Linked DNA regions of Coturnix japonica. The protein of the gene in region 1 interacts with the protein of each later gene in a pairwise test. Links are inferred from orthologs where the notes say so. Each region holds a gene or a part of one and is shown in the gene's direction. Other genes may lie near its edges.

Evidence for each region. The genes of interacting proteins can lie anywhere in the genome.
Region 2: the proteins of KLHL41 (region 1) and NRAP interact in binary tests that used the Homo sapiens proteins (3 or more experiments, as listed by UniProt). The link is inferred for Coturnix japonica from reciprocal best matches to the Homo sapiens genes KLHL41 and NRAP.

Annotation. Positions count from the first base shown.
Region 1 is NC_029522.1:16,684,801-16,688,459, reverse strand, and holds part of KLHL41 (kelch-like protein 41), read left to right. Parts: intron 1-873; coding exon 874-2,047; intron 2,048-3,659. UniProt on the Homo sapiens protein: Involved in skeletal muscle development and differentiation. Regulates proliferation and differentiation of myoblasts and plays a role in myofibril assembly by promoting lateral fusion of adjacent thin fibrils into mature, wide myofibrils.
Region 2 is NC_029521.1:24,360,583-24,364,241, reverse strand, and holds part of NRAP (nebulin-related-anchoring protein), read left to right. Parts: intron 1-656; coding exon 657-968; intron 969-1,939; coding exon 1,940-2,044; intron 2,045-2,745; coding exon 2,746-2,844; intron 2,845-2,955; coding exon 2,956-3,060; intron 3,061-3,659. UniProt on the Homo sapiens protein: May be involved in anchoring the terminal actin filaments in the myofibril to the membrane and in transmitting tension from the myofibrils to the extracellular matrix.

The DNA of each region.
Region 1 (3,659 bases):
TTAACTTGCATCTTTTACCTTAATCTGAGATTTTAAAAAATGGCTTTATTAGCATCTATTAAATAGTGTATGTCTGTTGTATTATGGTTTGTTTTTGTTTTTTTTCTTGTCTGTTCTACTTCTTAGGTGCTGTTTTCAGTTTAGTTTTGCAGCAGCTGATATGGTTTCTAAAGTAATCAGATGTGAAGGGATTGGTGATGTTTATAGATGATCTGGAATGCAGAATGATTGGAGGTGGGAGGTAGACTTAATTTTAAATTACTGTTAAAAACAGTACCTGAATATTTTATACTTTAAGAACTGTTTGTTTCTAAATAAATACAACCAAAACAGTGTTAAGAAGCAGCTCAAAATTCAGTTTTATTACCTATATCTTAAAAAATGCTTGTGTGAGTTATGCAATAAAAGTTATTTTAGGATAGAGATAATTTATATAATAAAGTATCTCATTTAAAATCTGTAGCAAGGCACTGTAACATTCAAGTAACATTCTGACAAAGTAATTGCAGCTGACAAATTGATTAGCAACGCTTTTATTTGAGAATATTCATAAAGTGTATGTTTATGATCTTGCTCATAGCTGTCTTACTGAGGGTCACATTCTGCCGTCCTTACTCACGTCAAATAATTTCTTACATTGCAAGTAATCTCACTGATTAAATGTGGAGAGTGATGGCAAAACCTGACCACAGTGAGTAAAAGCAACAGTTGCTTCTTTCAGTCTTTGACAGCTGTGAGAACAACTCTTTATTTTTTTCCAAACCATGCATCCTAAATTCCGACCTGTAAGAGTAGGTACCTATATTTAGCTAGTGAGATTAAGTTGCAGAGGCTTCAGGCAGGGCAAAGCACATTGGTCTGTCTTTTTTACAGACAGACATTTGGGCAGACAAGAGCACAAGCTTTTTGCTCCCTCCCTTCCCCAAGTATTTGCAAAATGGATTCCCAGAGGGAACTGACTGAAGAACTCAGACTTTACCAATCCACCCTTCTTCAGGATGGCCTCAAAGAACTCCTGGAAGAGAAAAAATTCGTAGATTGCTCCCTAAAAGCTGGTGACAGAAGTCTGCCTTGCCACAGATTGATTCTGTCAGCATGTAGCCCTTATTTTCGTGAGTATTTCTTATCTGAGCAAAATGAAGAGAAAAAGAAGGAGGTAGTTCTAGATAACGTTGACCCCAACATCCTGGATATGATTGTCAAATACCTTTATTCAGCAACTATTGATCTTAATGATTCTAACGTGCAAGATATTTTTGCTTTGGCCAGCCGCTTCCAGATCCCTTCTGTATTCACCGTGTGTGTCTCCTATCTTCAGAAGAGGCTTGCTGTCGGTAACTGTCTGGCTATCCTTCGATTAGGTGTTCTGCTTGATTGCCCAAGACTTGCGTTTTCTGCCCGTGATTTTGTTTCAGATCATTTTGTGCAGATCTGCAAAGAAGAAGACTTCCTGCAGCTTGCACCAAACGAACTTATCTCCGTTATTTCACCTGACAGCTTAAATGTAGAGAAGGAAGAACTGGTATTTGAAGCAGTGATGAGATGGGTCCGGTCAGACAAGGAGAACAGAGTAAAGAGCCTAGGAGAAGTTTTTGACTGCATACGTTTTCGTCTTATGCCAGAAAAATATTTCAAAGAACATGTTGAGAAGGACGATATAATTAAAAGCAACTCAGATCTTCAGAAAAAAGTAAAGATTATTAAGGATGCTTATGCTGGAAAACTGCCTGACTCCAGCACAAATAAAGAAAAATCGAACAAAGGGGAAGTGAATGGTGATGTAGGAGATGAAGATTTACTGCCGGGCTACCTAAATGACCTTCCCAGGCACGGCATGTTTGTCAAAGACCTAATTCTCCTGGTTAATGACACTGCTGCAGTAGCTTATGATCCTCTTGAAAATGAATGCTACCTGGCAGCCCTGGCAGAACAGATTCCCAGAAACCATTCCAGTATAGTCACCAAACAAAATCAGGTCTACATTGTTGGAGGACTGTATGTGGAAGAGGAGAACAAAGATCAGCCTTTCCAATCATACTTCTTTCAGGTATAAGCTTTCTAATTATTATTGTTGTGGTAAGTGCTTATTAGAGTTATTGGAAAGTACTTAGAGTCTGCGCAAGTGAATTGTCTAGTCTCTGTATGGTCAGTGGGGAGGTGTTCCAATAAAAAGCTCATCTTGTCTCATAGATATAAATTAAATAGAGGGACTTGTATCTTCTCTTTCAAGATCAAACGCTGGGTAAGATCACAGGAAAGAGTAACTCGTATGTAGATATTATATATAGAGATATAATGTTTGTCTTGTTTATGAAATATTTTAATGACAGAATAATATCTGTATTTTAAATGTCACTTTTTCACTAAAATTTCACAAGTCCTTCTACTACATTTACATTTGAAAGCCTAAGGGCACTCTAAAACATAATTTATTGGTAGAAGGTTGTTCTCCTGGCAAACTGTCAGTGTCAGGATACTAACTGCCACATTTCAACCCAAGTGCCAAATTTTAGTGTGCATAAGTCTTTATAAAGCCAATTAATACAAACTAGCTTCCATGACATATTTCAGAAAAGCAGCAAAATAACAATTTGGCATGCTTACATTACAAACAAATTCTGTGGTATATTTAGCTATCTGTCTACATGCTGTTTTTTAATGTGTAAATGATCTTATGGTGAATTCCACGATGTGCTACTGGCCATGGTCTGTCTTTAGGCACACTGACCTAAAAGAGTGAAAGCAGACCTTTTGACAATATGCAGCAAAACAGTAACAATCAGTGATAGGATCCTAAAGCCTTTACATATCTAAAAATGACAATAGTGAGTGTTTGTAACACTGTGGTTCACTGATTTCACACACCATGAAAGAGCTGGTTTCAAAAATTTTCCATAGCTGTGAGAGGAAAGCCATGTTGCTAGAGGGGGATTAGCACTATTTCATGTCCCTTTATGGGTGAAAAATGCTAATCAATAAAGTGCAGAACTTGTTACAGCTATATTCTTCCCATAGATAAACCACATTGATGTAATCCAGAGCTGAATAATGGGGCTACTAGAAAGGGGTCTCTGAAAAACTAAACTTCAAGAGTGATACTAAAATCTGATTAAATGTTCAGAATGCTACATTATATGTCTAAATTAATATCCTGAAATCCTGCTTCCTTTTTATCATTAAAGATAAATCATCTTTAAGGTTGCTTGTTGCCATACTGCATATGGTTAAAATACTTTTCTGCGTTACTCATCTGGCTGCTCTCTGTAAGATGTTAATATGGTGTCATACCCACATTCACTTCCTAAAGGTCCTTTCTCTGTTAGTCATGCACCTGTTACTCTGTTAGTACAACCTGTTACCATTTGGCTTGGACGCTGGTAACCCAGGACAAAACCAAGCTGCCACTGTCTCAAAAATGCAGGACTAATTGTTTATTGCTCTATCAACTGCGGATGTCACCTTTAAGACTGATACAGAAAGCAGGCTGTCAGCTGTTTTGACCTCTTTACCTAAATCTAGCTACTGGGACAACCCACAGCCTTGAACTACGCTTTACCATTGCTGTAGAACAATTAGTTCAATAGGAGTGGTCTATCAAATCTGGGGGATGCATTTTACCTCGACTTTGGAACACACTTCTAGAAATAGAATGTCACTGA
Region 2 (3,659 bases), on another chromosome or scaffold:
CCATTTCAACTACATTATGAACTCTTCAGGGCCCAGGCCTTCTCTTTAAAGTTCCAAGCACCCTGTTGATGCTGTATAAATAATCATTATCATCATCATCACTATTTCACAGAGAGGATAAATGCAAGATCATAGAGAGAGTTATAGTCCCAGCTAAGATGAGAACGAGGGGTTGCTGGTGCTTATTCTTCTGTTCAGGCCACCATCTTAGGCTTTTCAACATAGTTATTGATCCAGGAAGACTGAATTTACTCTTTAAAATAGCTGGGTGGCATTTGCAAATCTGAAGGCTACAGAGTGCATGATGTTTCACCATAGGGATATTTTCTTCTTCCTTTTGCTTATTCCTCTTACATTCTCATTCCTAATTATGGGATTATAACTGAGAGTTAATAAAAGTGCATCATCTGAGGTTTACATATTACCAGTGCTTTGAAGATATTCAGAGAATGCATTGAATTGTGCTTAACTTATATACTACAACTACTGTGGCAACTCAAAAGCAATGAGAGATTCAGGGAAATACTTAGCACTGCAGACCCTGGCTGTTTTTGCAGTCAGCATAGATGTTTCAGTGACTTATCCTAAGCTACTTAGCTAGAGCAGCCAGTCTAAGCATGGCACTTTTTCACTTCTATCCTTTTTTTTATTTTTAGTACCAGTATAAACACAATTTTGTGATGGAAAGAGGAAAGCACATTGGGGCCAGAAGTGTTCTGGATGATACCAGGTTGCTGCATTGCTTGCATGCTGCCAAATTACAGAGTGAACAGGAGTATAAGAAAGGATCCCAGGGAGTGTGGTCTCAATACAATCTGCCCATGGACATGGTGAATCTTGTCCATGCAAGGAAAGCCCAGGCCTTAGCAAGTGATCAAGATTATAGAAAGAGACTCCACGAATTTACAGCACTCCTGGAAGACTTGAAGATGAAATGGGCCAAAAGAGCCCATATGCTACAGAGCGAGGTAAACTTTCCTTATGTAAAGAGAAAATAACTGAATTTAGTATTGATAGAGCTTTAAAGGAATAGCACAAATTGTTTGCTGACATTGGGCAGTGTTTTTAGAAATAGTATTTGCAAACTTACAATGTCTAGTAGCAAGATATCTGATTGCTCTATAGAATATACATGAATTAGAAGTTCTTATGTTATGAACATGACAGAAAATCAGTGTGGTCCACGTCACTTATCCTAGAGCTCTGGGATATAAAAATATAAAATAAAAATAATAATCAGTAATGTCTCAGCATTTTGGATAGCAGCCAGCCAGTGGTTTGACAGCCATTGCTCTACACATAGAATTCTTTGTGCAGAAGGATTTCTCTCTTTGCCTGTGGACACCAAAGGGAAATGACTGAGGTGATTTTGTCTGATCCCCTCGCTGTATAGTAAGAATAATGTACAGCACCTGTTTGAGCTAGCTGGTTGCCATCCCTTTTGCTTATAGGAGAGGTAAGAATCGTCAGGACTGGGACTACTTTCCTAGCTTTTACTTTACATTGGGTCTGTCTCATTTTCCTGGATAAGAAGGTAGAGGAAACCTTTAATGTGAATAAAGAAAGAGTCTTAAGTCTCCTCTTAGAAATGGGGTTAATGAGGAAGCCTGCACCAGATAAAATAATTAGTATTCCTGACTTGAACTCACCTCAGAAAATTATTTCAAAAGGGTTTCTTTTACGCCCAGTACAAACAGGTTATTACTGACTGCTTTGAGCCATACTAATTCACTTGTGGGGCCTTCTCTTGTAACTTGCATATGATACATTATTTAATTCCTGGTGGAATGAACAAATGCAAACAGTTTGGCTTTACGATCTGATATGTGCATGGCAAATGAAAAACCTCAAAATGTTAATACGAATCAGAGAGTCTTTTTAAAATACCTTAATAGCTGTGGATGCAAAACTGATAGCTAACGATTTTCATTTTCAACAGCATCGCTATAAATCAGACCTGAACTTCATGAAAGGAGTTGGTTGGATGGCTCTGAGATCTCCGCAGATAGAAAGTGTAAAGAAGGCTGGCGAGCTCATCAGTGAGGTAACTGATAAATCTTTCATGGGATAGCACGTCTGTAGGAATTGTTTACCATCAAGGCTCCTCGTTACATGACACTTACGAATGTAGCTTATCATTTCCTTTTGATGTGGGAGCCTGTTTATACAAGGTATAAGTTACCAAGAAGCAATACAGGAGATGCAAGTCCACTGTGTGACACCTGCTGAATATTTTCCATTCCGAATGAAACACAAGAGTATAAACAAAACACGTAGCAATAAATAAATGCAGTAAATTCTATTATAAAATTCTAAGCAGATCCTTATGGAAGTGATATAGAAAGATACAACACTGACAGTCACAATGAAGGTGTGTTAGCCTGCTTAGTATCAGGTATTAATAGAGGAAAAGTATAAGCTGCCAAAAATGCAGTGTTCATAGATTTCACATGTGAATTTTCAGTGCAGGGTCCTTGTGTGTGCACACACACACACACATAAAAATAAAAATAAAGAAAGGTTGGTGATTTGGAATTACAGCAATGAGACAGTGGCATCCTTGTTCACTGGCTGAAAGAGCAACTAAGACCAAAGCAGAACAGTATGTTTTTATCACTGTGGCTTCAGGAATGTGATTTTGGTGATTTACTCCAATTATCACACACCTAGAATCACGATATATCACCACTGTCTAACAGAAGCATCCTGTGTGTGTATTTATTTGTGTTTTTTTGTCCCCTCCAGACCAAGTACCGTCAGAAGCCAGAAAGTCTGAAGTTCACTGCCGTGGTCGACTCTCCAGATTTGATTCATGCTAAAAATAGCTACCTCCAGTGCAATGATGTAGGTTTCATTTGACTATAAATGATCTTAACTTTTGTTGTGCTAAAGGCATTAAAAAGAATCGACCTGACTTCCAGAATCAGTTGCATTCACTGTCTTTTGTCTCCTCAGAGGCTGTACAAGGCTGGAGACTCTGAAGCCAGGCACAGGTATACGCTGCCTCCTGATCATCCAGATTTTATCCGAGCTCGCCAGAATGCACTTCATATCAGTGAAGTAAGTTACAGAAGTTTTTACTTTAAGGAACTGACTTTATAACAATCATTAAAGAAAACACATTTGCTTGGAAATGAAAAGCTTTCATGAATGTGTAGAAGTCAGGTTCTTTGAACATGAACAGAAAATGTAGAGCTTGTGGACTGCCAGTACGCTGCTTGGCCTGGGAGGGAGAGATCAGGAAAGGTTGTTTATTTTTCTTGTAAGAATTTGTTCTGCTTCCTAGGACAAGAAGCTATTATTAAACATTTAAGTCCTAAATTTTAGGCATAACTTCTTATAAAACTTTCTACTTGTATTTGATGAGGCAGAGAGAGAATCCCTCTCTGTCCTTGACTGTATGATCTATCTCCATGAAGCTGCAGTGCTGTGTTGAGACGATCCCTTAGTCACAGTCCTCAACATGAGTGCAAATGCAAGTGAGTGGAATTGATTTAGAGAGATTTTGTTTCCACTTCATGCAGTGGCACACAGTCTATTTCTAATAGTTGTGATCAAATTTGTCATCTTTAGTTGCAGGGTCAGAGTGATCTTAGTTTGAAAAAAGTTTTGAGTTTCTCATTTGGTGGTAGGTCTTCTATATGTACAAGAAAGAAATA